5 linked regions of the Macaca fascicularis genome follow. The protein of the gene in region 2 interacts with the protein of the main gene of each other region in a biochemical or structural test. Links are inferred from orthologs where the notes say so. Each region holds a gene or a part of one and is shown on either strand. Other genes may lie near its edges.

Region 1 (5,184 bases), on a different chromosome or scaffold from region 2:
AAGAGCTGCAGTGGGGCCTGGATTAGCACAAATGCTGGCTTCTCCCTGGAGGGAGGCCAGCCCAGCAAGCTATTGGGGCGAGGGCACATGTGAGCAGTGTGCGAGGCCAGGGAACAGCAGGGCCAACCCCATCCTCCAGACTTCAGGACAGGGCGGGGACCTGCTGGAGCAGAGGACAGGCTGGGGAAGCCACACCAGCACTGTCTTCAATGGGTGGTGCCACTGCCCCAGGCTCATCTACCCCGCTGCGGGGGCAGCTCCATGCCAAGCACAGTCCAGCCACCTCGGTCACTTTTACGCTCTGGGGGAGGAGAAAAGGCCCAGCCGTGACACTGGCTGGAAGGTACCTGGGCCTCCCCAGGCCGCAGCCCTCCCGTGGTGACACAAAACGGAGGCCCTGGCGGGAACCAGAACCTCACACTTGGCAAAGTCACGGGGCCATGAGAGCTGGAGCCTGGACACCTGGCCTGCTGCCCCTTCCAGGGTGCTCCCAGGCCTGCCTCTCCCAGGGAAGACACGGGGCCAGAGTGACCACGGGGACCTCTGACAGGTGCGCACTGTGACTGGGGAAGCCACGGGGCCAGGGTGACCATGGGGACATCTGACAGGCGCGCACCGTGACTTCTGCTCATAAGAGCCCTAAACTGGGTGCCTTGGCTGCTTGTCTGGGCAGCTGCAGGCACCCAGCTGCCCTGCTCTGGGCTTCCCCTTCTCCTTTCACACCACAGCCCAGCCCCCGGGGGCCCACACCCCATCCTGATGCCAGGCCTGCTCTTGGGTCTCTGCCTAATGCTCCACTGTCTGCCCTGATGAAAGCCCCAAATCCTCCCGTTTCAGGTTGAGAAGCGGCGAAAGAGAGAAAATGCTACCAAAACACGACCTGAGCCCCAGAAGCTCTAGGGCACAGGGCACCCGAGACCTGCCCTGCTTGGTTAGGGTGGAGTCTAGGAATCAATGGGGCTCACATCTCCCTCACTTTCATCAGGGCGGGACCCCTTTGCCAGCAGCTGGTCTGACACAGGAGCGGCTCCTGACAGCCTGGGCTGCTGTGTTCCTGCAGAACCTCCAAGGCCTTGGGACCACCCTGGCTGGTACTGCGTTGGCACAGCCCATGGTTGGAGCACCCAGAAACCCTCTGTGTCCCACATCCCTTCTGCAGCTCCCAGAACGAGGTGGCCAGCGCAGTGGCTGCACACCTGCACCAGTTACCAGTGAACAGGAAACGAGTTTGGCCCCGCAGGCCCTGAGCGGGTACATGAGGCAGCCACCCTGGCATGAGGAGGGGAGCAACGTGGCGGGAACAGCCCCCTCCTACGCTCTGAGAGGCAGCGGCCCCCACAGACCAGCAAGCGGCCGGTGTCCTGAGGGCCTGGTGGGGACAGTGACTTACGCCCTCCTTGGCTGCTGAGGCAAACCGGCTGGCTCCAGTGGTGAAGCTGCTCCAGCCCTGAGGAAGGCGACAAAGAGCAGCTGCATCAGGACTGGGACCCAGGAACCCGGCGCTGAGCAGAGCATCTCAGCAAGGACGAGGACCAGGCCCCTGCCCTGTCCTGACCCCACAGCGCCTGCTTCGCCAGGCTGCTGGAGCAATACAAATGGACCCAGGGCACAACGGACACGCGCCCTCTACCCCAACCTCGCCAACTGCAGTGCTCCCAACACGGTGCAATCCAGCCTCCTGTGGATCCCACCACCCTCAAGCAGCAAGCCCACACTGCAGGGCAGGACCCCTCCCCAGGGCCAGCGCTCCCTCCTGCCTCCCTAGAGGAACAGGCAGAGGTGAGGCATGTGGGGTCACAACTGCTGTAACCTGCTCTAACCTGCTCTCCTCCCCACGGCTGGCGCTTCCTCCTGCCTCCCCAGAGGAACAGAAAAAGGTGAGGCGTGTGGGGTCATGACCGCCGTAACCTGCTCTCCTTCATCTATGCTCAGGGTTTCCTCCTGGGTCTCCCGAGATAATTAAAGCTATTTAGAAAAATAAATGTCTCATTTCAATCACAACTCATCCTCTTCCTCCTAAAGGAAACACAAAGGGACCCTCACTTGAGAGATCACTAAGCTGAACTGCCTTCCCCAGAAAGCAGATGCCCAGCAAAAGGCAGCAAAAGGGCCACACACAGGCTGGAAAATGCACTTTTCTTTCCTAACGACGCAGCAATGACTGCAAGAGAAAGCAACCATGGCCGTCAGTGGCCCGAGGTGCAGCCAGGCCATCCCGAGCAACTGGAAGCCACACACACCTGGGGGCTCCCAAGACTCTATGGCAGGGCTCCTTGCAGATGAAGCCATCCGTTTTAAACCTGCTTATTTTTAGCTAACATACTTTGAAGATCTTGTCATGTTAGTATTAAAAAATCCTTTCTGGCCAGGCATGGTGGCTCGTTCCTGTAATACTGGAACTTTGGGAAGCTAAGCAACTCAAGAGGCCCAGGTGGAAGGATCGCTTGAACCCAGGGTTCAAGGCTGCAGTGAGCTATAAATATGCCACTGCACTCCAGCCCTGGCAACAGAGCAAGACCCGTCTCAAAATAAATAAATAAATAAATAAACAAGTCCTTCCTTGGCTCTCCGCGCAAGCTCCCATTCACGCGGCCCCTGTGGCCAGAGTCTCAGGTTGCTAGTGTCACAGACAATAATGCTGCGATGAATAAAAATCTTTCTTTTTTTTTGACACGGAGTCGTACTCTGTCGCCCAGGCTGGAGTGCAATGGTGCTATCTAGGCTCACTGCAACCTCTGCCTGCCAGGTTCAAGCAATTCTCCTGCCTCAGCTTCCTTAGTAGCTGGGGCTACAAGGCACATACCACCCTGCCTGGCTAATTTTTATATTTTTTAATAGAGACGGGGTTTCGCCATGTTGGCCAGGCTGGTCTCGAACTCCTGACCTCAGGTGATCCGCCCGCCTCCACCTCTCAAAGTACTGGGATTACAGGCGTGAGCCATCACACCTGCAAGAATCATTTTTTAATCATTTTAATCATTTTTAATCATTTTAAAGAAGGTAAAAATTTCCTTGGAAAATGAAAATCAAACAACATGTATTTCCGTTAATAGGAAAATGGCAACAAGCCCAGGGTGTCCTACTCTGAACATCTGACCTGGAGCTTCCAGGCACCCCCAGACCAGAGGTGGCCCTGAGTGACCTCGGGTAGCGCCCGAGCGGCTTCCCAGCACGGCCAGACCCCCAAGCACAGAGCCAGCTTCCCACTGCACACAGCACTCCCTCTGCAGAGAACACGGCCAAGTGGCTGCCGTCAGAGCCCTTGGGTTCCTTGGAAGAACGTCCGCTGTTAGATTTGAAATACACACATTTTGTGTCAGAAGTAAGTAAGTGTTGGTTGGGTGCGGTGGCTCACTCCTGTCATCCCAGCACCTTGGGAGGCTGAGGTGGACAGATCATCAGAAGTCAGGAATTTGAAACCAACCTGGCCAACCTGGTGAAACCCCATCTCTACTAAAAATACAAAAATTAGCTGGACGTGATAGTGGGTGCCTATAATCCCAGCTACTCAGGAGGCTGAGGCAGGAGAATCACTTGAACCTGGGAGGCAGAGGTTGCAGTGAGCCAGAATGCGCCACCGCACTCCAGTCTGCAGCCTGGGCAACAAAGCAAGACTCCGTCTTTTAAAAAAAAAGAAGTGACTGAATTTGGGATCTGAAAAATTTAAGCCACATTTTTGCAAGAAAACGTCACTGAAGGTAAGGGAGGGGTCCTTAGATCACAGCAAGGCCAAGAGCACGTGTTCCAGGACTGCCACACTGCCCCCGACAGCCCGGCGTGCCCTCAGTCCGGGTCTGCCCATGGGAGATGCTCTGCAGGGCCCACAAGTCCTCACCGAGTACAGGGAGGACATGGCGTTGTTGAGGAAGTCATCTTCTTTCTTCTGAGGCGGTGGCGTGTTCCCAAACCCCACGTAGCGATTCCCCTGGGCTCTGAAAACAAAGCGGACAAGAGGCTGAAGATGCTGGCGTGAACCCTGCTCCTCCTGAAGGTGTGGGGCCCTGAACAGAGGTGAGGCTGAGGCTCTGAGGGATGTGCCAGCGTCCCCCAGCACAGGACATGCACGCTGCCTCCCGTAGCAGCAGGAGCCTTGGCAGCTCCCCAGCAGCAGACAGACGTGCTTCCTGCTCATTTAAAAAGACCCTCCTGCCACATCACCAGAGAGGGTCCCCAGCAAGTCCCCAAACCCAGTCATAGAAGTACTGGAAGAAGGATCAAAACAACTTAATATGACAGCTTTGGGGATAAAAATTCACGTATAGGTCCAGCAAATTCCAAGCAGAAAATGTGTTATGCTTTTCTTCTAAGTGTTAGCTCTTCTCTACACCCAAGACCCCCAATCCACACCCGGGTGGGCAGCCGGGGCTCACTGCAGTCAGACCCTGCACCGGCACGTACGGGTCCCACACCCACTGCACACGGGAGGCCCCGAGGGAAGCAGCCCTACCCAGCAGACTGAACCCCGTGGGTCTGGCCTTCCCCAGGCATCCCCAGCTCTCAAGTCTTTACCCTTGATAGGAGCCGAGGTCATCATTCAGCCAGTCTTCGAAAGCCTTGTCCGAGGAGGCGGTCACACTCTGCAGCTGGCCAGAGGCTCTGAAACCAAGAATCAAAGGCTGGTGAGGTCAAAACTGGGTGAAGTCTGAGGGAACCCCAGCAGCACCCCCAGAACCATGTGGCCTATGTGGGCAGCGCCTTCACGTCACCCGAGAGCACCTGAGGCCAGGGTGGCCTTCAGCTCTGAGCGGATGTTCAGGCTCAGGTGCTGAAACCCAGCAATGCCAGCCTCATGGGCACCACGAGAGGCCTCTGCAGTGGGCTCTGCACTCTCCCCGTCAGCAGGAGGCAGAGGCGAGAGGTGGGGCAAGAGGACCGAGGGCCTGGAATCAAGCTGGAGTTGCCCGAAGTGCAAAGCCTTCTGCCAGAAACACCTGGCTGGCGGGGCTCCGGGGCTCCAGGTGAGGTGGGGAGGCCTCGTGCTACCCAGTCACCTCACCCGGGATGTTCCCTGCAGTGGGACGTGGGATGCATCCATGACAGGGGTCAGTTCAAGGGTGGCAGGGCCAGTGCCACAGGTAGATGGGCAACTCTGGGGAAGGGGAGACAGCACCTCTGTGGGCAGACGGAGTCGTGAATCCCACAGCGCCACGGCGCACACGGCTGTGTGCAAACGTGAATCCCACA
Region 2 (5,658 bases):
CTGAAGGCAAAAGTGTGGCTTCATGATATTAGTGTGATTGATTAAATTATTGGCTACTGGTGACCAGCTCAATCTTCAGTCCCTCTCCACTCTGGGGAAATTGGAGGGTGGGGCTGAAACCCTCTAATCCTACCTTGGCCCCGTGACTAGCCCTACCCTGAAGTTTCGTAGGGGCTGCCCGTCACTGGTCAACTCATTAGGGTACAAAAAGACATCATCACTTTGGAGATTCCAAGTATTTTAGTAGTTGTATGGCAGGAAATGGGAGGCAGGCCAGATATGTATTTTGCAATCCACAACTACAGACTTCTAACTTCCTGAAATGTTCATGGACTGAATCAAGTCTCCCGTTCACTTCATGCTGTACACTAACAGTGAGCCCTGGGCCTCCGGGGTGTGGGAGAACGTCTGCCTTCTAAACAGAATCATTCCCAATTGCTGTGCCTGTGAAAATCTGCCTTTTATGCTTTCCCTGTCTCTTCTCTTGATGTCATTTAGGCTTTTCCTGTTATCAGGGCCTGTAAGAAGCACCACCTTTCCCAGTCTGTTGGCTGACAACCGGCTGCAAGCCCTTGTTACCACTGTGTGAGAACCAGGAAACCAGGATTAGTCAAGGACATTATGGCTAATCAGCCAGCCTTACTGTCTTCTCATCCCTGTAGATGGTTGAGTGACAGGACCCTGGGGGAGGACCTGAGAGCCTCTTGGGAACAAAAAACATCCAGGACATGTCTGTCAAGTTGCTAACAAGGTCATCTGACCCACCTGAGAATGTGAAACTACCTTCCAAGACGGTGCTGGGCACCTGCACAGCTGTAAGGTGATAAGTGCAACTATGCCTTAAAGAGTTTATAACAACCACAGGAAAATACGAACCTGAGGATGAGGGCAAATCCTGGAATCCCAACATGAAGGGGCTAAACCTTTTCCAAAAGACCACTTCAGATGCTACAGGCAGGATACCCCTACCAACCAACCACACCAATGAGGAGCAGGCACAACACAGAAAACACAAGTTCTCATAATTTAAGATCCCCACTGCAAGGCCTTTTCCTGTTTCTCTCCCAATTACCTCTGACAGTGCACTCTACTTCCTTTCACCCTCTTGAGTTTACCGAGGTGAAAGGTCAGGGGGAGAGGACAGAATGCCTATGAGAGACAGTATGGGCCTGCCAGCCCAGGCTGGCTGCAGCCTCTTGCTCAAGAGAATGGTCACAGCTCAGGAAGAAGTGTGTACAAAAGCTTGGTGAGCATGGCCTGTGAGTAAGAGCTGGTTTAAATACACCAATGAGACATTTAATTTGAAGAATCTAGAAAAAACTGCTTCAACTCTCTGAAACCACAGTCATATACTTTGCGTGTGAACTTGCACAACAGGTTTTTTTCTCTTAGTTAGGTCTACTTCTATGATCACTGCAGCAGCTGACAGTCCATATTAAATTTTACTGAAGTGAAAAATGAAAGGCCAAATGCATCTTCGAAGCTATGGTTTCAAGCCTGTCCAGTCTGTAGGGGCAGATGAGCAGGTGAAGATGTCTGAATGTCCTCTCCATATTGTGCAAGAGGTACAGCGCATAGCTAGACTACATGATGTACAAAATCAGAACTGTGAGGGGCACAGAACCAGTTTTTGCTTTTCACTCACAGTCATTCTGTGACTCAGCTGTTGTCCAAACCAACTGTTTCAAATCTTTTTCAACTAGCAAATCTGAAAAACTGCCTGACAGGCAACAGCATATTCCTACTGCTGCAATGATTTGGATTTATTTTCAACAAGATACACCTAAAGACAAGTGACAGATATTCTCCGGTCTACCAACATGTGAAAACGTGGACAACACACCTCTAACAATGTGGCCAATCAGATGTGTATACTAACATTTATACTACTCAATTCTTCTCAATTTTGGACCCAGCTAATAGTACGGCATTTCAGGACCTTATGGTTCTGGCTACCTTGGTAGTGCTGGTGAAAATTCAAATTAAATGAGGACATCATCCATGCAGTCACACGTGTTAGACAATGGCTAACGCAAAAGCAGAGGGCCACAGGGGCCGCACACAACCGCACCTCGGCATCTCACACTCCTCCCAACACACTGCGGAAAACGACAGAACCACCAGCCTTGCAACAACCGGCGGCAGAGAAAACTGCTGACCACTAGTTCTGAAACAAGAAATACAACTGCCCACTCCAATAGGGGCAGTGGCACCAACTCTACAGCTCTAAACTAGGCGGCGACTTCGGGGACCATCCAAAGACTCCGACCTCCCTTCTTTTTCTGCCCGCGATTCCGAGCGCATTTCTGCTCAATTCCTGCAAAGCAGCAACTGGCTGCCTGGACGGAAAGGGAGTCCGCCAGGAGGTGCCGTCGGAATGGTTATCTAACACTCTAGGTGCGCACGGCTGTCCAGACCCAATCTCACAAGCCGTAACCACCCAGGCTGTGCCCCGAGAGAGCGCTGGGGCCGGCCTCTGCGGCCTAGAGTCTACGAGCAGGTCGTTCCGCAGGCAAGTTAAAGATTCACCAGCTCAAAAGAGGCCTTCTTATCTACTGCCGACAACGTCAAGGAAACCACCCTGGAGTTAAAGCGAACATCGACCGGCCCTCTGGAAGCCACCGGAGACTTCATACTGACCCCAAATCGCGTCTCACTGTTGTGAAGGGAGGCACTCTGGGCTTCCCCGGAGGTCCACGCATTCCGTTCAGCAGACAGGGAAAGGCGCAGGGTCCCTGTCCACTGCCCGCCCGCTCGCTCTCACCGCCCCTGACCCAGTGCCTTCCTCAGAGGAAACACGAACTGGATGGAGTCGGGAGGCGAAGGTGCAAGCCCCCACCACCTACGTGACCTTGACGGTGTCTTGGGGCCGCCTGAGCCTCAGTTTCCCGGTCCCCGAGGCAGCGGTCCGCCCGGATGCCGCTCGCTAGCCTGTACTCGGGTGGAGGAGGCCCCACAACCCCCACCGGCCCCCGAGACCGCTAACCCCAACTCTCCACGCGCGGGCGGCCTCGGGAAACGTGAGGGGCAGAGGTAAGGGAAGCAGGAAGCCCAGGTTTCCTGGAGAAGAGCCTGGCGTCCCGGCTGACTTCCGGGCGACGGGCGGGGGCAGGGACTGGCAGAGGAGGACAAGGGGCCGCGGGCGACTCCGGGAACCTGTGAGGGGCGCGAGGAGCTCACCGACCCGCCCGCCCTCCCAGCCCCGACTCCCCAGCCTCAGCCCGGCCCGTCCTCGTCCGCCCCCGGCCCGGCCCTGTCGCCGCCGCCGCCGCCGGGATCGAGGTGCCCTTCGCGAACCTCAAGTCGCCCCGAGGCCAGTCCCCAGACCCCGCCGGCTCCAACTTGTGTGCGGCCCACACCGACCCGCGCCCCTCGCCCTCACCTCAGAAGCTGCTGCTTCGAGCCAGGCGTTGGTTTCGCTCCCACAAGATGGCGGCTCTGACGGCGGCCACGTCAGCGCCTGCGGGCGCGGGGAACGTCGGGTAAGAGGCGGAGACGCCGGGAGCTCCGCCCCCCGTGCGCCCGCGACGCAGACGCGCTGGCTCCAGAAGGGCTGCAGGGGGCGGGGCCGGGGACACCCAGCCCCGGGCCGAGGTCCTAGCTCGCGCGCGCCTTAGGGGTGCGCACCCGTCTGCGCCTGCGCCTGTGAGTCTTCCGAAAAGACACCTTGTGGCTGCCACACGCCCGTTTGGCAGATTCGGAGACTGAGGCCCGGGGGGCTGCTGCAGCAACTGGAGCGGCGGGGCCGGGTTGCCACCCTCCTCCTCCCCGACCCGGCAGTCACCGCGAGCCCTCGGGGACCGCGTGAGGACTGGGGTGCGAGGCGCCCCTTCGCTGGGATTGGGGTCCCTGGCTCCCAGGCTGCGCGGGTCCGTGTGCCCCGGCCCTGTGGAAACCTGTGGCACTCGCGGGGCCTCGGCGGAAGGTCCGAAGGAGGGAGGCCTGCTATGTCCCCGCACTGGCCTCGGCGCCCCGGCGGCCGCAGTGACTCGCGCGGGCTCATGCCTGGGCTCATGCCGGGGAGTTGGCTACAGATGAAGCAAAGGAGGAGGTGGCCTGGGGACCCCGGGGGGAGGCCGGGGCTGTGGGGGTGGTGCCCAGAAGGGAGGTCACAGCGGTCTCTAATGAGCTGGCCTTTCAGCTGAGATCCAGTTGAGGCGGAGGAGACCCCGCTCCCAGGAAGCCCTCCTGGATTGGTCAGAAGGGAACAGAGGCCTGGCTCTGCCCACCACCCTCAGGTCTTCTTGCCTCTTCCCTTGTGCAGCTGTGAGGGATTGGGCTTGTGGGAGAGCGTCCGTGCAGCACAGTTCTCTGGGTATTCTGGAGGTCGGGAATCAACCTGATTTGTCCAGGGGGAGGCCCGGGGGCAGGGCCTGAGGGGTGGGGTCACTGGGCCTGGCCCAGGCCTCCTGCGCCCCTTTGCTGCCGCCATCACCTACCTTGCTTGCCCCTTGGGCAGGGCATCCTCACTGCCACTGCAGGCTGCGATAGTCGGAGTTCTCCCCCAGGGCTGCACCTGCGGGGGCTTCGAAGGACCCCAGAAGTGGTGACCCTCCTGCCCCCAAATTCAGTCCCTTTTTCTGCCTGGGGCTCCCCTCTGAAATCTCACCTCTGTGAAGCTGCGGCAGGTTGTCTGTTTAGGGGAAGGATGTCTCCCTCCCACCCTACAGGCATCTCAGATACTCTTGGAAAGCCCCAGGGAGGGGTGTGGATGCCTGTGGAGCCTTCTGATTGTGCTGCCTCTCCCGCTCAGCCAGAACTGGGCCATGCTCGGACATTTCATGGGCGATACATGTGGTTATGGCCACTTTAGGGCTGAAGGGACCTGGCTTTGGTTCTCTGATGGCAGAGCATGGCCAGGGGTGGCTCCAGTGTCACTGAGTGGGGATTGTGTGGGAACCAGAGCCTGCTTCCCCTTCCTTTAAAATACTCTATTTTTTTTTTTCTTTTTTTGAGATGGAATCTTGCTCTGTCGCCCATACTGGAGTGCAGTGACACAATCTTGGCTCACTGCAATCTCCGCCTCCTGGGTTCAAGCAATTCTGCTGCCTCAGCCTCCCAAGTAGCTGGGATTGCAGGCGCCTGCCCCTACGCCCAACTAATTTTTGTATTTTTAGTGGAGACAGGGTTTCACCATGTTGGCCATGGCTGGTCTCGAACTCCTGATCTCAGGTGATCCACCCGCCTTGGCCTCCCAAAGTGCTGGGATTACAGGTGTGAGCCCCCGTGCCTGGCCCCTTTAAAATATTTTATTTTAAATGTGAAAAAATGCAGACAGGAAAGAGTGTATGTCAGATACATGCACAGTTTAAAAAGTAATAAAATGGATTTCTGTATACACAGCCCTAGGGTTAAGAAATGTACCTTCCCCAGCCTGGGCAACATGATGAGACCCCATCTCTACAAAAATTTTACAAAGATAGCCAGGTATGGTGACACACACCTGTAGTTCCAGCTACTTGGGAGGCTGAGGTGGGAGGATCGCTTGGGCCCAGAAGTTCAAGGTTACAGTGACCTAGGACTCTGCCACTGCACTCCAGCCTGGGTGGCAGAGTGAGACCCTGTCTGCAAATAATAATAATTTTTTTAAAAGTCCCTTTCCGCTGATTCTGTGCTCCTGGTTTGGCCTCCCCACCACCACCAGGACAAAAGTGATGT
Region 3 (5,862 bases), on a different chromosome or scaffold from region 2:
GCACAGCTGGTTCCAGGGCCGGCCCGGAGAGCATCCACTGCGATGCAGAGCATGCGCTGCAAGGGGACACCCTACAGTGTCATTAATCATTTATTATTTGATCTTTCCTTGCATTAAATTATACTTGAGTCAACGGACTCTGCCTCAATACATGTGTATCAGGTAACACGAAACTGCCCTCGATGTGACACAGGGTCTTTCTGGAATGTCTGCTGGCTGGCTGCCATCAGCTGCAAGCCTTACATAGAGGGAGCAGCCCTGAACTCAGGGAGGCAACTGTTCTGCATTAGGGGGAAGAACTGGGAAGAGCCTAAATAGACAAGTTCCAACAAGGATCAGAGAGTACAAGAGAATCATCCTACAAAAGGTAGGTGTTCCAATCCTTTCATCCTTAACGCCTTGAGTTCAGAATACAGGCAAACCAAAGGCACACATATGTAGGAGCCCGTGTGTGCTTTAAAATAAGATTCCAGCCATCTTGCTTCCCTGTGCTAATGGAAATACCTTGCCTAAGCATTTAACGCTGGGAAGCCAAATAGACTATTTAATGCAATAATTACTTAGTCTTTAGTTTCCTGTAGCCAATTCAAAAATTTACTTAGCTGTTTTAAAGAAGATGGAAAGATTCTAACAGAAGGAAAACCTGCACAAGCTGATGTCATTTTTAATTTCCTTTATATTTTCAAGGACTCTAAATTTTAAACATTATGGCCAAGATGCAGAGAAAGCCAGTGGTGCTTCTCATGATGCTTATCATGTTGCAGATCTACGACAGTTTAGCTGTCAATCTAAAATCCAAAAAGGTCTGAGAATGGAAGGAACTTCTTTTCATAAATGGTTGGCAAATTATTTTGGTGGCAAAACCAGACTCTAACCTAACTGGCATGAGGCTATTTTTAATCACTATTTATTTCACTGAGTGTGGATATCTCAGGCTTTGCTGCAAAATACTAGTATGTTATTACAGGGCGCCACCCGACCTCACAGGCAGTGTTCTACAACACACACCATTTTACCTTCCTCAGATCCAAAATTTCCGAGTTCTACAAACTCACCTGTCCCCAGTGGTTTGGGGACTTGCATCCTATGGACATTTACAGGGAAACCAAGCTTGGGCTCTATTGCATCTGACTCTTACCTTACAGACTCTCATCTAAATTCAAAATCTTATACAGCACCTAAATTCTGAATAATTTATGTCACAGGAAGCAAACATGTAAAGACTGGAGAAGTGTAATAAAATGAGAGGTTGTGATACCTGTGGGGACTATAACTTTTACCTGTAATAGACACTGGTATCACCAAAATCCTAAGAATATTGATATTTCAGACATTTTAGCCAAAGGCAAAGAATTTATCCAGGTGAAACATGTAGCTTTTTTGAGTACGCGATTACTTAGAACTTCAGAAAAAAGTGAGGCCCTAGAGTTCTGACCATATGTGCTGTAATGTAGTTCATTAAATTTCCATTTTTCTATACAACTCACAATGCTACTAATATTATGTCTCAGACCAAAGTAATTCCACCCAGAGAAGGACTGACCACAAAGAACAAACTGAGCATTACTATAAACATTCCAACACACGTCACCCCCTTACTACTCCAAATCTACTATCAATCCATTTGACCAGAGAGGAACTACCCAAACCCCAAATGCTTTTAACTTGTATCAAGAGGGACCACAACGAAACGCATCCTCTCTAAATCATGTCTGTGCCTTTCTCTTTCTCGCTCTGATACAAACTCGTCTGGAACCAATGCAGCTAATTACTGTTTTCTTCAAAGTCCACAGAACAAAGATGCAAGCCTGCTATCAGAGAACTGGGACCTTCAGGTCTTAACTTCCTCTGAACGCCAATGATGACAGGAGCAACTTCGTGCAAACCAATTCTTTTAACAAAATAACACGCATTACTTTCTAATATTTTAAGAGAATACACGAAGGGAAGTTTCTGGAGGCTCTGACCCCCAAATGCTACCTACCAAAAGGTTAACTGATTCCTGCAGTGGAATACCATATCTGGCTGGAGATCCCTCCCTGCAAAGTCCCTGTCAGAGGACACAAGGGAACAGACACCTGAGGTTTCAGAACAGGCTGCAGGGCTGCAGTTTTCCTGCCCCTTTGCTAGCCTACATTACGAGGAAACAGATCCGGTCCCAGACTCGCTCTCCACGTTAAGATGCCACCTGGCAGGAAAGCTGCGGAGACAGGCCTCCGTCCCGCCCTGCGCCTCACCACTGTAGTGAAGTGTCCTCACAGCCAGCTCAATACCGAGGGCCACGGAGTCATCTGAGGCCCCACCACAGCATTCACAGATGGTAGCACCAACAGGGAGACGACTGCAGGCAGGGAGGGGGGCCAGGATGAATGCCGGCTTTTCCCACCCAGGCAGCGGCACCTGTGCGGGGGCGACCGGCGAGCCTCGGCTCCCTGGGGCGGCCTCACAGGTGTCACGGGCAGCCAGTTCAGGGCCCGCTCCCGCAGAAGGCCCAGCCAGAACGCGAGGGAGGTCGGCGCCGCCTGGCAAGGCGACCTGTCCCGGGTCAAGCTCTCCTTGATGAAGGTGGTGGACCCCGAGGGAAACTGGCACGCACAGCCAGGCGCAGGGGCAGCCAGAAAACGCAGGACCGCTGCGCCCTGCTGGGGAAAACCGCAGTACCCCAGTTCACTTCTCTCCAGGCCACGTGCCGGCTACCGACCCGGGAGGGCGGGTTCCATGGCCACTGTGGAGCCAGCAAGTCCCCACCACGCCCCTTCCCGTCCCGGGACCCCCGGCCACGCTGCCCACCTCTGCGCGGGGAGCCGTCGATGCTCTCGCCGCTGGACGAGTGCGCTTCGACTGGCGGCCGCCGCAGGCTGAAGTAGCCGCGCGGCCGCGAGGCTCCGCTCCGTGGGGAGGGCCCGCCGCCCGGGCCCCCATCCCTGCGCGCGAAGATGCCGCTGAAGAAGCGCAGCAGCCGGTGTTCCGAGGCCGCGCCGGCCCCGGCCGCCGCCCGCGCGCGCTCCAGCCGCTGCAGGTCGCTGTTGTCTAGCGTGCGGTTCTTGCTCTTACTGCGCTCCCAACGCTCCAGGTCCGATAGCGTGTCGTTCTTGCTGAGCACCTCGCCCACGTCCAGGGTGTTGCGCTTCTCCGAGGAGGGCTGCGTGGCGGCCGCGGGCTCCAGGGTGGCCCCGGCTGCGGCCTCGTCATCCGGCGCCCAGGCCAGGCTCCCGGAGCTGCTGTGGCGCCTCCCGCCGCCCAGTGTCCGGCCCTGCGGCGCCTCAGGCCCGCTCCAGTGCCTGAAGCTCAAGCTCCGCCGCAGGGGCGCGGCCCGGGCCCCCTCCACGTCGGGGCTGCCGGGCGCGGGCGAGCCTCGTCCCTCCTCCTCCGCCCGCCCGCTGCTGGCCAGGTCCGCGGGTTCCAGGCCGCGTGCGCACGGCCGGAGCCGCCCCAGCTCCAGCTGCCCGGTGCTGCGGGTGCGGAAGGTGCGGAAATCCCATGCGCGCGGCCGGCGACCCTCCGGTTCCTCCACACCCTCCGCCTCCTCGGCTTCCTCCTCTAGCCGCCCGGGCGCGTCCGGGGAGCGCGCGGGCCGGGGCCACCGAGCGGGGCGCGGGTCCGGGCCGCCAGAGCCCGGCGCGGCCAGCTGCTCTTTCCTGACCATGGTCACGGAGATGCGGTAGACGGTCTTTCTGGGAGGCGTCCCGCGCGGCATCGCGTCCGCGGGTGGCGACGCGGGCTCGCCGCTGCCGTCCAACAAGTACATGTCGCCCGCGCACTGGGGCCCCGCCGCATCCAGCGAGCCCGCGGGCTGGGAGGGCGCCGGGTCAGGCGAGGAGGGCAGGCGGTCCGGGAGTGTGGCCCACGCCCCCCGCTCGCCGCGAGGGCCGCACTCAGGCTGCGGGGAAGGCGCCCCTGGCACCCGCCGGCCCGTACGCCGCGCCGCCCGAGTGCCGGGGTCCGGGCCCGGGGCGCCGAGCCATGGGCCGGCAGGGCCAGGCGAGGCGGCCGGTCAGGCGCGAGAGCGCTCTCGCCGGCAGGTGCGGCCGCGGTGCGCAGGGCCCAGGGCGGGCGGCGGCGCCCGCGGCTTCATTGTCTACGACGCGGGGCCCGTGCGCATCCTCCCGCCCCGGCAGCACAGCTCGGCGGTTCCGCAGCCTCCGCCACTCCCTGGGCTCCGGGACGCGCGGACAGCTGCGCCGGCTGCGACCGAAGGGTGGCGGGTGGCGGGCGGCGGGCGGCGGGTGGCGGTTTAAAATGGAAACGCGCGCCGGGGCGGGGCGGGCGGCGGGGGCCGGCGTGCAGGGACCGCGGGCCGCGCGCCCAGCCGGGCTGGCGGAGTCCCGGGAGCGCGGTGGCGGCGGCGGCGAGCGCGGCGGCGTGCAGGCCCAAGCGCCGGGATGGATCGGCGCAGCGCGGACCGGAGCCTCGGGGGGCCTAGCCTAGCACCAGCCTGCACCCTAAAACCACGCACACTTTGGGGCTTGGCCTGCAAAAACAAAACTAGGGGCATATCTCACCTGCTGCGCGTTTATATGAGGCATCTTTCCTAACCATGCAGCCTCGAAGATGCAACTCATGTGACTCGTTTAAAAAACCAAGTATCTTTGGTACCTGTTACCCCCAACCTCACCTAGGAACAAGTGGGCTTCCAGGAAGACAAGAACAAAGAGATGTGACTGTGAGGGGAGGGTGCTGTTTACACCAATGCCCTGCCAATGAAGGGCCACAATCTGCCTCCTAACATAATTCTGTCTTGTTTTCATTTTCAATTAGCAATAATCTCACCCCAGATAAACTTCTATGGTACCATACACTACCATACCATATCATCCATACTCTGTGCAAAGCTTCTAAAACAATCTCGTAGGGTTATTTTACCAATGTCTGGGGAAAGATTCCTCACAGGTAAGCACTTACTCCCCATGACGACAGACTCCTAGGAAAATACTGTGGTTAAGAGCAAGAAGACAGACGTGCCTGCCCGCAAGCCAGGCTTATCCACTGACAAACCACCTGCTTTTCCACCTGTAAAATAGGAGCGCCGATAAAAGCTCCTAAACTTTGAGCATTCTTGTGAAGATTAAATTGATTAAAATCCTATGTACCAGGCATTCTGTGTACATGCTAAATATTCACCATTAATACTGAAAACTGAACGTCTCTTCCATCAAATCCCCCACTTCCTACCTGGTGGGCTGACAGATACTGGTCTTGGATATTATCCCAGGCCACACAATATTTAGACATAGGTGATCAACTTATCAGTTCCTCACGCTGTCTTAAACACAGATGTATTGTTTCAGAGTTTCCTTGATGAAAAAGTTTCAGAAGGAAAAATACAATGTCCCCTGATCACACTACATGCTTACACGACCTTCTCCAGACCTAGAAATGCTACAGCTTGCTACAGGCTGTTTCTGGGCAAGGTGCTGGTGGCCAGGCCAGGGGGAAGCATTACTTTGGGATATGCTATTTGCAGGCAGGGATTGTCAGGTGCCAACTTTCCCTACTTTAATCTTATTGTGGGGGTACCTATTGTGTTCACGGCACTGGAAGTGGCATAAAAATGAATTGGGCAAGCTCTCTTTTGAAGGAAGTTATAGAAGTTATAGCCTAGGAAATCTGGATTTTATGACAGTTTGAAATTTAATATTCAGATTTAATGAAATATATCAGAGTGCTAGGTGATTCACTTTATTTTTCTTGAAAGGATACTTTAAAATACACCTGACCACCCTCTGTGGCCTCGACCTCAACATGATTTTCACCATCATAGGGTCACACCTCAGCCTACCAGCTACTCAAACTTTAAAGGCTCTGGATGTGGTACCTCTTATTACGTCCTCATTGTAAGGAGGGGTTCCCAAGACAGAATCA
Region 4 (5,919 bases), on a different chromosome or scaffold from region 2:
TCCAGACACAGTCCCCATCTCCCCCAGACATCCAGAGATGCTTCCCACGCACCCCAGATCTCTGTAAATCCCTGATTCCCAGACGTCTACAGATGGCCTCCAACCATCTGATGTCCAGTCCCATGCATTCTAGGCTTCCAAATGACCCCCACAACTCCTAGGCTCCCCACAAGGGCCCAATGGTCCCCACAGCTCCCAGATGGCAACCCAGTGCCCATGCACAGCCATGGTCTACCCCTGTTCTCATGCTCCCATGACCCTTGAGAGATGCTCTCCACCCTTCTCAGATATAAATGGATGCTTCCCCACAACCCCCAGGTAATTCCAGAAGGCCCCGCATCCCCAGATGCTCTCGGGTGGCCGCAGGCTCCCCTAGCCCGTGTCCGTCCATTCTGTCACAGTCCAGTCAGAAGACGCATCTGCCAGGGCCTCTCTGTGGGGAGGCTGCAGGGCTGTTCCACCTGCGAGCTGCCGGTGTGAGGGCAGGAGCTGGGCGCAGGTAGCGGGAGGGGCGGGCCCCACAGGAGCTGAGTGGTGGTGGCCGTACCTCTCCCCCAGGTAGTCCCCGATGGCTGTCTTGTTCAGCCCCTCGCCCTTGTACAGGAAGCGGGCAATCTCCTCGGGTGTGTTCTGCAGCAGTTCGTTCTCCACCAAGAACTGGATCCCCTGGTGAGTGGGGACAAGGTCTCAGTGCTGAGAGCCAGAAAGCCACCCCCCTCACCTCCCTGGGAACCTCAGCATCCAGACCTACCCCCACCCTCAACAGACCAGGGCCAGGTTTCACTTTCAGCCTTCTCAAGGGTCTTAAATAGGATTCTTCCCAACTCATGGCCTTTGCACCTCATGGCCTACCCTCTCTGCCTTTGCCTGGTTAATTCCAGCACCAACAACAGGGTCTGGCAAGGAGCAGGTGCTCAGTACATGTTCTTTTCTTTCTGAGACCTGGTCTCGCTCTACTGCACAGGTTGGAGTGCAGTGGCGTGATCACAGCTCACTGCAGCTTCGAACCGCTGGGCTCAAGGGATCCTCTCCCTTCGGCCTCCTGAGAAGCTGGGACTATAGGCATGTACCAATACACCTGGATAATTTATTTATTTTTATTTTTTCTAGAGATGAGTTATCACTATGCTGCCCACGCTGGTCTCAAATTCCTGCCTTCAAGCAATCCTCCTGCCTAGGCCTGTCAAAGCACTGGGATTACAGGCATAAGCCACGGAACCCAGCCAATAAATGTGTTTTGAATGACTGAACAGAATTCCAACTGCTTCAGGAAAGAATAACGTGACAACCTTGAGCAGACGCAGTCCCTCAAGGGCTGTGAACTCCAAGCCTTTGCTAGACTGGAGGCTTCTCTCGCTCTCTGTGCTATGAAGCCCTCTCTACTGCTGCCATATCTCACTCTGAATTGGGGTATCCATGTCCAGGGGCTGAGCACAGGGCAGCATCTAATTCTTCTTTGGGTCCCCAGCATTGCCCTACACAGGATCAGGCTCTCAAGAGGCCTCAGAAAATGGGTGTTAAAGGCTGGGCACGGTGGCTCACGCCTGTAATCCCAGCACTTTGGGAGGCCAAGGCGGGCGGATTACGAGGTCAGGAGATCGAGACCATCCTGGTTAACTCGGTGAAACCCCGTCTCTACTAAAAAAAAATACAAAAAATTAGGCAGGCGTGGCGGCGGGCACCTATAGTCCCAGCTACTCAGGAGGCTGAGGCAGGAGAATGGCGTGAACCCAAAAGGCAGAGCTTGCAGTGAGCTGAGATTGCTCCATGGCACTTCAGCCTGGGCGACAGAGTGAGACTCTGTCTCAAAAAAAAAAAAAAAAAAAGAACGGGTGTTAAATGAGTATGTGAACAGGCCGGACATGGTGGCTCATGCCTGTAATCCCAGCACTTTGGGAGGCTGAGGTGGGCAGATCATCTGAGGTCAGGAGTTTGAAATCAGCCTGGCCAACATGGTGAAACCCCATCTTTACTAAAAATACATAAATTAGTTGGGCATGGTGGCGGGAGTCTGTAAGCCCAGCTACTTGGGAGGCTGAGGCAGGAGAATCGCTTGAACATGGGATGGGGAGGTTACAGTGAGCCGAGATCACATCACTGCACTCCAGTCTGGGTGACAGAGCAAGACTCTGTCTCACAAAAAAAAAAAAAAAAAAAGTAAGTGAACAAAAGCCATTCCTCCACCTAGTGAACACCTACTCATCCTTCAAACCCGACCTGAATGTCTCCTCCTCAAGGAAGCCCTCCCTGACTCCACCAGCCTGCCTCCTCCAGAAATCTACTACCCTGATACCTCCCTCTGTCATGGCACCTTTGCAGGAGGGAGGTCAACTCTCCTTTGTGCATATCACTTTGTCTACAGCCCTACAAGACTCGAGCTCATCTTGGCACTAGAAGTGCGCCCATACAAGTAGAAAGTGGAAGACAACCTTCAGGGCAGGGGACGAAACATAAGCGTCAGGAGGCCTGGAACACTTGGTCAGTGTTCAGAGAACAAATGGACAGCCAGTATCTGAATCCAGGGATTAGGACCAAGTCTGTCCACCTAGAATAGACCCGGAACCATCACGCTTCTGGAACCCGGAGGTGCCAGAAGCCCCTGCCCGGATGTTTGCCCAGCGGATCCCAGTCCTGTGGCCCCAAGCACCTTCTTGGGGTCCATGTTGAACTTCTTCCTGCCCATTGCCATCTTCCGGTTCCGCTGCAAGGTCTTACTGCAGGAGCAGAGAGCAGGGTGGGGGATGGGGGGTCAATGCCTGGGCATTCCTGGCCTCAGTCAACCCCACGCCCCCCAGGTCACCCGCCCCAGCCCTCACCTGCCCTCATTGGCCTCCAGCCCCTCCACCTCGCTCATGGCTTCACTGAGCTCCTCCCGCAGGCGCTGAATCTCCACCAGCAGCTCCTGCTTCCGCCGCCGGATGTTCTCCAGCTCCATCCGCTCCTCTGGAGTCAGGTCTGGGGGTTCTAGGGGTCGGGGTCACGGTTTAAAAGTCAGTGCTGGGGACCATGAGCCTGAATTCCTGCAATCTGGGGGCGGACAGAGCTGGGAGAGGATGCATAAGGGCCTTCCATGTCTGCACAGAAGACTGCGCTGGGGGCCTGGATTCCTCCGTGCAGAGAAGGGCCGGGGCTCTAAACTCTTGAGTCCTGGGGGGAGGAGGGGACTTGGGGCCCGGATTCCAGAGTCTGAAGGAGAAGGGGAATAGGTGCCTGAGCTCTTAGGTGTGAGGGAAGAAAGGGTTGGGGGCCTGAGCTTCTAGGTCCATTACTTGGAAGGGGACTGAGGCCTTGGTTTTCTGACTCCATTACTGGCGAGGTAGCTGGGGACCTGGTTATCCGGACTCCTGGGTCCATGAACAGTCACTACGGCCGCGGGAGCTGATGACAGCTCGGGAGAGTTGGGAAGACGGGGCGGGACATCGAAGGCCCCCGCCCCCCAAGATTTCTCCCCTCCCCGCAACCCGAGCGCCCCTCCCCGGCCCCGGCAGACGCTGGGCTTGCCCGCCCCTCCAGCGGGAATGGTTCCGCCCCGGCCTCGCCTCCACCGCTCCATCCCGCCCCTCCCGCCGCCACCGGAAACAGGATCAGCCCAAACAATGGCCTGGAACGCCCCGCTTTCGGGCCCCGCCGGAAGCCCGTCCAGCGCCCCACAAAAGCGGCGCGACAAGTCTACTACTGGGCCGAAAGCTTCTGGGCTGCGCGCTCCAGGGGGAAACGTTCGCGGCGGAACGTTCAGGAGAAAACGCTCCAGCAGCTCCCAGCCGACCCCGCCCCTCCCCGACCTACCATAGACGCCGTCCTCCATGGCGGCTAGGAAGGCCCGCGGGGAGTCCGGGGCGGTCCCGCCGGTCGGGCCTGGATCCGCGTTGGCCCGCGGGCTCGGGTGAGCCCGCTCAAACGCCCCGGGAGCCACCGCCGCCTCCTCAGCGCCAGACCTCAGCGCTGAAAAGACTCTCCCTTGGTCGCCCAACCGCCCCTTCAGTAGGGACCGCCCCTCTTTTTGACACCGTCCAATCCACAGTGGGCGCTTTAGTCCTCCCCGCCCTCGCCACCAAAGGATCGTCTTCCAGGGCCAACAGTCGTACAAAAAGCTGATGTCGGTATGTCCGGCCAGAGGTAGACGGCCCGCGGGGCCAATCGGAGTGCAGGCAGGGCAGCAGGCCCCGCCTCCGAAACAACAGAAAGCACTTGACAGGCTTGCTCTCCAATGGGAAGCCCCAGAAAGGTGTTGCGCGGAGGCGGACCTACGCGGTACAGACATCTCTGCGCCTGCTCAAAGGCCCTGGACACTTGGAGACTAAGTAAACCGAACCCCGCCTCCAATAATCCGTTGCTAGGGGGCGGTACTTGGTTAATCTTGTTGCCAGGAGGCGGGGCTAGAACTGGCTTGTTTCCGTAAGCCACACCTCCTAGCAGGCCATGCTGGCTTCTGACTGCAGAGGTTGCCATGCAACCGGGAGCAGCCTTCGGCCTCCTTTTTATTTGCTTTTCTTCTCCGTGTATTTCCCCTCTCAGTCCCTTCTTACCTCCAAACCCTTTCCTTACGACCATCTATGCCCTCCCCATCCCCCTCAGCCTCTTCGGAGTCGTGGAGTGGTGAAACGAAAGACTTCTTCGGAAGGTTTTTTCTTTTTCTTTTTTTTTGAGACAGAGTCTTGCTCTGCCGCCCAAGCTGGAGTGCAGTTGCGCGATCTCGGTTCACTGCAACCTCCGCCTCCGGGTTCAAGCGATTCTCCTGCCTCAACCTCCCGAGTAGCTGGGATTACAGGCATGCACCATCACGCCCAGCTAATTTTTGTATTTTTAATGGAGACGGGGTTTCACCATGTTGGCCAGGCTGGTTTCAAACTCCTAACCTAAAGTGATTCACCCACCTTGACCTCCCAAAGTGTTGGGATTACAGGCGTGAGCCTTCGCGCCTGGCCAAGATTTACTCTTTTTTCTAAATGCTATGCTATCTGGTATCGGTCATGGAGAATGGAAGAGGGGAAGATCAAATTTCGTGAAAGCACAGGCTCAGCCTTCCTGGTACCTTCTGCCGCTCAGACTCCTCCCTCATTTCTCCAAACTTCTCCCCTTAGCTTAGCATCCTCCTAAGACTCCTCCCTTCCCCAAGCATCCTCCCGCTAAGACAACTCCCCTTTCCTCAGCGTCCTCCCACCTCTGATTCCTTCTCCCATCTCAGAAGCCTTTTCTTCCTCCCTGGCTCCCCTCACGTCCCCCCTTGTCCTCTCATACTATGGCCCTTCTTTTTTTTTTTTTTTTTTTTTTTTTTTTTTTTTTTTTTGAGACTGAATTTTGCTCTTTTGCCCAGCCTGGAGTGATCTGGCATGATCTCAGCCCACTGCAACCTCCTCCCCCAAAGGTTCAAGCGATTCTCCTGCCTCAGCCTCCCAAGTAGCTGGGATTACGGGCGCCCACCACCATGCCCGGCTAATTTTTGTATTTTTAGTAAAGACAGGGTTTCGCCATGTTGGCCAGGCTGGTCTCAAACTCCTGACCTCAGGTGATCCACCTGCCTCAGCCTCCCAAAATGCTAGGATTATAGGCGAGCCACCATACCTGGCCAACCTTGCCCTTCTTAAACTCCTCCCTCCTCTGAGGCCCCTTCCCCTTCCCCAGCCTCTAGGTCCCATTATTTGTAAGGGAATGGGATTAAAGGCTTGGCTGGAATGGGGAACCCAGGCACCCCTGTAAAGAGCGAAGCCATAATGGGGGCTGAAGTGGTGTCTGGGCCTCGTCCTCATTTTCTGTCCCTGGGCTGGGCAGGTGGGGACGGATTCGGGGCCAGGACCTGGTTAAGCTGCCGGATTAGACATGGAGGCTTCTAATCCCCTCATTGACCTTTATGAGTGGCCCAGGCCCTGCCCTCCCCAGTGGAAACCCAGGCTGGGCTGCCCTGCTCCCACTCTCCTTCCA
Region 5 (5,184 bases), on a different chromosome or scaffold from region 2:
CAACTAAAGAATGGGGGGATTACTACATCATACATAAAGAACACCAATAAGTCGACAAGAAAAAGTCACATGAGCCAACGGAAAAATGAGCAAATCGTAAGAACTGACAGTTCACAGAGAAATTAAAATGGCCAGTTGTGGCAAATGATGTTCTGTTTCACTAGTAAACGAAGAAGTTAAAATGAAATTACATTGAAAATATCCATTAGATGGGTAATAATTAAAATCATTAGTAACATTCAATATCAGCATATTAGCATATCAGAATGTTATTCAATATGCTGGGGAATATTCAGTATGCTGGGGAAGTGGGTATTCTCATAGACTACGGGAATATAACTTTTAGGAGACAATTTGGCAGTATCAAAAAAGAAAAAAAAAAATATATATATATAGCTTTTTTGAGATGGTGTCCGGTTCTGTCACCCAGGCTGGAGTGCAATGGCACGATCTTGGCTCACTGCAACCTCCGCCTCTTGGGTTCAAGTAATTTTCCTGTCTCAGCCTCCCAAGTAACTGAAATTACAGGTACCCGCCACCATGCCTGGCTGATTTTTGTATTTTTAGTAGAGACGGTTTTTGCCATGTTGGCCAGGCTGGTCTTGAACTCCTGACCCCAGTGATCTACCCGCCTCGGCCTCCCAAAGTGCTGGGATTACAGGCATGAGCCACAGCGACTGGCCAGCAGTTATCAAAATATTAAATGCACATAGCCTTTAATATCATTAAATATGCACAGTAATTTTACATCTAGGAATACAACCTACACAATGCTTAGGCAAAGATCATGTTCATCGCATTGTGTGTAAGAATGAAAAATGGGAAATAATCTAAGTATCTAATCTCTCACACATGTATTAAGTGAAAAAATAAGTCACAGAAGAGGGTGCATGATCTCATTTATGTTGAAACAAAAGTAACACATGCCTGCACATGTGAAAATATGTAGGAAGGCCAGGCGAGGTGGCTCATGCCTGTAATCCCAGCACTTTGGGAGGCCAAAGCGGGTGGATCACTTAAGGTCAGGAGTTCATGACCAGCCTGGCCAACATGGTGAAATCCCATCTGTACTAAAAATACGAAAATTAACTGAGCATGGTGGTGCATGCCCGTAATCCCAGCTATTCAGGAGGCTGGAGGCAGGAGAATCGCTTGAACCCGGGGGGCAGAGACTGCAGTAAGCCGGTATCATGCCACTGCACTCCAGCCTGGGCGACAGAGCCAGACTCCATCTCAAAAAAAAAAAAAAAAAAAGGCCGGGCGCGGTGGCTCAAGCCTGTAATCCCAGCACTTTGGGAGGCCGAGACGGGCGGATCACGAGGTCAGGAGATCGAGACCATCCTGGCTAACACGGTGAAACCCTGTCTCTACTAAAAAATACAAAAAACTAGCCAGGCGCTGTGACGGGCACCTGTAGTCCCAGCTACTCGGGAGGCTGAGGCAGGAGAACGGCGTGAACCCGGGAGGCGGAGCTTGCAGTGAGCTGAGATCCGGCCACTGCACTCCAGCCTGGGCGACAGAGCGAGACTCCGTCTCAAAAAAAAAAAAAAAAAACCCAACCAAACAAACAAAAACAACCTCCGTCCATGACTGCCCTGTGCCTGTGATATTAGCACACGGGAGCCTGTGAGATCAGCTGCCACTGACTCCCAGCCTCTCCTCTGACTGCTCCTCCTCACTCAGTAACAACAATATGTCCTGGTGGTTCCCAAACGCCCTGAGCTATTTCTGTCTTCTCTGCCTGGACTGTTCTGCATTTTCTTTATCTCGTATAGTTGCATGAGGATCAGCAAGTGTACGCTGTTCCCATGCAATCACCAGTCCTATCAAAATATAGGACATTTTCATCGTCCTGGAATGTTCCCTCGTGTGCCCCGTTTGATTGCCCAGACAATCTTTGCCCCGTACCCTGCCACAGGCAACTGCTGATCTGATTTCCATCGCTGTGGATCGGTTTTGGCTGTTTTAGAAGTTTATAGCCGGGCGCGGCGGCTCACGCCTGTAATCCCAGCACTTTGGGAGGCCAAGGCAGGTGGATCACAAGGTCAGGAGCTCGAGACCAGCCTGGCTAACACGGTGAAACCCCGTCTCTACTAAAAAATACAAAAAACTAGCCGGGTGAGTTGGCGGGCGCCTGTAGTCCCAGCTACTTGGGAGGCTGAGGCAGAAGAATGGCGTGAACCCGGGAGGCGGAGCTTGCAGTGAGCTGAGATCTGGCCACTGCACTCCAGCCCGGGCGACAGAGCGACACTCCGTCTCAAAAAAAAAAAAAGAAGTTTATAGCCGGGCGCGGTGAGCTGAGATCAATAGAGCAAAACTCTCAAAAAAAAAAAAAAAAAAAAAAAAAAGGAAAATGTTTGTTAAATGAAGGACTAAATCAGATTTGAGAAGATCATAGAGAACAGAGAGGGTCAGTATGGTACAGGGGGGTTTAAAAAGTTACAGGAGGTTACAGACGTCAAGGGTCAGAAGAGATGACCAAGTCTGAGGGTCAGAAAGGTCAGAGCGAAATCAGAGAGATCAATGTGGTTAAAGATATCAAAGATCAAGAAGATTAAGGGCCGGGCGCGGTGGCTCAAGCCTGTAATCCCAGCACTTTGGGAGGCCGAGACGGGCGGATCACGAGTTCAGGAGATCGAGACCATCCTGGCTAACACGGTGAAACCCCGTCTCTACTAAAATACAAAAAAAACTAGCCGGGCGAGGTGGCGGGCGCCTGTACTCCCAGCTACTCGGGAGGCTGAGGCAGGAGAATGGCGTGAACCCGGGAGGCGGGGCTTGCAGTGAGCTGAGATCCGGCCATTGCACTCCAGACTGGGCAACAGAGCGAGACTCCGTCTCAAAAAAAAAAAAAAAAAAAAAAAAGAAGATTAAGGAAGTCACAGGGTGGATCGCTGAGGTCAGAAGGGTTCAGAGGAGATAAAAGAGAGGGTGAAGGACTCAGAGACAGGGGGTCAAGAAGGCCACAGAAGGGATGTCAGTGTCTCACCACCGGGCCAAGGTCCCAGGCCGGGATGGGGCGTAGCTGTCATGCTGGTGCAGGTGTAGGAAGTCTCTGCCTGGGCCCCGTGCCAGCTCAGTGATCTCTTGGGCCCACCACCGTGCCTGCCGGTAGCTGCTGCACTTGAGAATCAAGGACCTGGATGGGAACGATGAGATGGACCATAAATCCTCGCCCTCCATACATATGATCTTGCCCAGAGACCTCCCCTTTCTTTCTCACTTCCTCCCTTGGTCCCTAATCACAACTCCACAGAGACAGGGCGTGTATGTATCTGCCTTATTTGTTTATTTATTTTTGAGACAGAGTTTAGCTCTTGTCCCCCAGGTTGGAATGCAGTGGTGCGATCTCTGCTTACTGCAACCTCTGCACCCTGGCTTCAAGCGATTCTCCTGCCTCAGGCTCCCCAATAGCTGGGATTACAGGCCAGCACCACCACGCCTGGCTAATTTTTGCATTTTTAGTAGAGACAGGGTTTTACCATGTTGGTCAGGCTGATCTCGAACTCCTGACCTCAGGTGATCCGCCCGCCTCGGCCTCCCGAAGTGCTGGGATTACAGGCATGAGAAACCATGCCTGGCCGTATCCACCTTACTCACAGTTGGAGCCTAGTATTGTATCAGCAACCAGTATTGTACCAGGCACTCAGGTTTGTTGAATGAACAAATGAACAAATGGAATTTCCTTTATGTCAGCAGTTCCTTTCCTGGGCTTCTACTAATCCCCTTTCTCTGGGCCCAGTCTCTAAGAGCAGTCCCAAGCATCTGGCTAGACCAGTTCCCTGGTTCAAAACTATGTCCGGATCCCGGGAGGTGGAACAGCCTTCCTCTCTACTGTGGTCTCTCTTACTCAACCCCCAGCAGGGCTGCAGGCTGGCTCACCACTCAGCCGGTGTCTCTCACCCCAGGGAGGCCTCACCTGTGGGAGGTGTCGATCCGCACTCCGTACCGTGCCTCCGTGCTCCTTTTCCCCACCTGCACCTCAAAGCCGGGGTCAAAGAGCTGAACAAATGAGATGGCACCCGTCTCGAGGCACATGTACAGCAGGAAGGAGTCCTTCACCACCAGCCACCTAGAGCAGAAGGGCTCCCTGTGTTCCTCTCTGCCCTCGAAATTTTATTCCTCACCCCCACCCACTGCCCAGCTGCTGGGCCATAGCCCTTACCTCTTGGACCAGCGATAACAAACTTGGTCTCGGCCACAGCAGGTGAGGCCAGGAACGCGGTGGCCACCTGAGCGCTTCCGGATCGTCCCCTCCCTGTGGGGCAATCAGGAAGAGAGGCTGGATGAGGACTCCAGACCCCCAGCCCACCCTGCACTGCTTGCCCCATTCTCAGGCAGGGAGAAATTAAGAGGGATGTCTACAGATGCCTGGGTGAAGGGGGCCAGACACTCACAGCCCTTTGCAGCCCAGGTCTGGGATAAAGGACAGCTGACTGACTTCCAGGAATTCTGTCTGCAGAGGAAAACAAAAGGCCAGAGGAGATACCTGGCTTTCAGCTCCTCAGACCCTGGGGCCCCTGGCCCTCCTCCCCCTGAGGGTCTGATGATCCTGCTCCACATCTAAAATCAGCTCCTGGACCTTACCAAGGCATGGTAGTTGCGATAGAAAGACATGGTCAAGAGGCGGTTGAGGTAATTCTCCAGGTATTTCTAAAGTGGAGATGAGAGAGAAAAAGACAGATGGGACCAGAGTCATTTGCACATCCAATGCCTTCCCAGAGGACCTGGCATCTGGTCCCACCTGTTTGCTGGCTGCATGTCTGGTAGAGCCCTCAGGACCTGCCCGGGGTAGAGAGGGCATCTCTCTGTTGGCTGCATCTTGGGCTGGAGAATAGGCAACGGCAAAACTGTGGAAAGGATGGATGAGGTTCAGGTAAGAGCTGGGAGGCTGGGTGCTCTGGTTCCTGAAAACACTGGAGATGGGGCTTGGAGGAAAAGAAGAGGCCTGGAGGTGGCCAGGTGTGGTGGCTCATGCCTGGAATCCCGGCACTTGGGGAGGCTGCAGCAGGTGGATCACTTGAGCTCAGGAATTTAAGACCAGCCTGGGCAACACAACAGCACCCCATCTCTACAAAATATACAAAAATTAGTTGGGTGTGGTGGCTGTGGTCCCAGCTACTCGGGAGGCTGAAGTAGGAGGGTTGCTTGAGCCCAGGAGGTTGACATGAGCCAAGATCATAC

The links.
Region 1: the proteins of ARF1 (region 2) and ARFGAP1 form a complex in vitro, tested with the Homo sapiens proteins (2 studies listed by BioGRID, with this or other methods). The link is inferred for Macaca fascicularis from reciprocal best matches to the Homo sapiens genes ARF1 and ARFGAP1.
Region 3: of the proteins of ARF1 (region 2) and AGAP1, one has a biochemical effect on the other in vitro, tested with the Homo sapiens proteins (2 studies listed by BioGRID, with this or other methods). The link is inferred for Macaca fascicularis from reciprocal best matches to the Homo sapiens genes ARF1 and AGAP1.
Region 4: the proteins of ARF1 (region 2) and CYTH2 are reported together in a solved structure, tested with the Homo sapiens proteins (3 studies listed by BioGRID and IntAct, with this or other methods). The link is inferred for Macaca fascicularis from reciprocal best matches to the Homo sapiens genes ARF1 and CYTH2.
Region 5: the proteins of ARF1 (region 2) and PLD2 form a complex in vitro, tested with the Homo sapiens proteins (2 studies listed by BioGRID). The link is inferred for Macaca fascicularis from reciprocal best matches to the Homo sapiens genes ARF1 and PLD2.

Annotation. Positions count from the first base shown.
Region 1 is NC_088384.1:119,392,565-119,397,748, reverse strand, and holds part of ARFGAP1 (ADP-ribosylation factor GTPase-activating protein 1), read right to left. Parts: intron 4,597-5,184; coding exon 4,510-4,596; intron 3,933-4,509; coding exon 3,836-3,932; intron 1,448-3,835; coding exon 1,391-1,447; intron 1-1,390. UniProt on the Homo sapiens protein: GTPase-activating protein (GAP) for the ADP ribosylation factor 1 (ARF1). Involved in membrane trafficking and /or vesicle transport.
Region 2 is NC_088375.1:85,990,785-85,996,442, reverse strand, and holds the start of ARF1 (ADP-ribosylation factor 1), read right to left. Parts: upstream 3,451-5,658; 5' UTR 2,703-3,450; coding exon 2,641-2,702; intron 1-2,640. UniProt on the Homo sapiens protein: Small GTPase involved in protein trafficking between different compartments. Modulates vesicle budding and uncoating within the Golgi complex. In its GTP-bound form, triggers the recruitment of coatomer proteins to the Golgi membrane.
Region 3 is NC_088386.1:131,580,200-131,586,061, reverse strand, and holds the start of AGAP1 (arf-GAP with GTPase, ANK repeat and PH domain-containing protein 1), read right to left. Parts: upstream 3,851-5,862; 5' UTR 3,749-3,850; coding exon 2,791-3,748; intron 1-2,790. UniProt on the Homo sapiens protein: GTPase-activating protein for ARF1 and, to a lesser extent, ARF5. Directly and specifically regulates the adapter protein 3 (AP-3)-dependent trafficking of proteins in the endosomal-lysosomal system.
Region 4 is NC_088393.1:56,460,399-56,466,317, reverse strand, and holds the start of CYTH2 (cytohesin-2), read right to left. Parts: upstream 3,521-5,919; 5' UTR 3,355-3,520; coding exon 3,270-3,354; intron 2,965-3,269; coding exon 2,817-2,964; intron 2,715-2,816; coding exon 2,648-2,714; intron 667-2,647; coding exon 548-666; intron 1-547. UniProt on the Homo sapiens protein: Acts as a guanine-nucleotide exchange factor (GEF). Promotes guanine-nucleotide exchange on ARF1, ARF3 and ARF6. Activates ARF factors through replacement of GDP with GTP.
Region 5 is NC_088390.1:4,911,347-4,916,530, reverse strand, and holds part of PLD2 (phospholipase D2), read right to left. Parts: intron 4,851-5,184; coding exon 4,745-4,850; intron 4,654-4,744; coding exon 4,588-4,653; intron 4,457-4,587; coding exon 4,398-4,456; intron 4,259-4,397; coding exon 4,166-4,258; intron 4,073-4,165; coding exon 3,920-4,072; intron 3,140-3,919; coding exon 2,990-3,139; intron 1-2,989.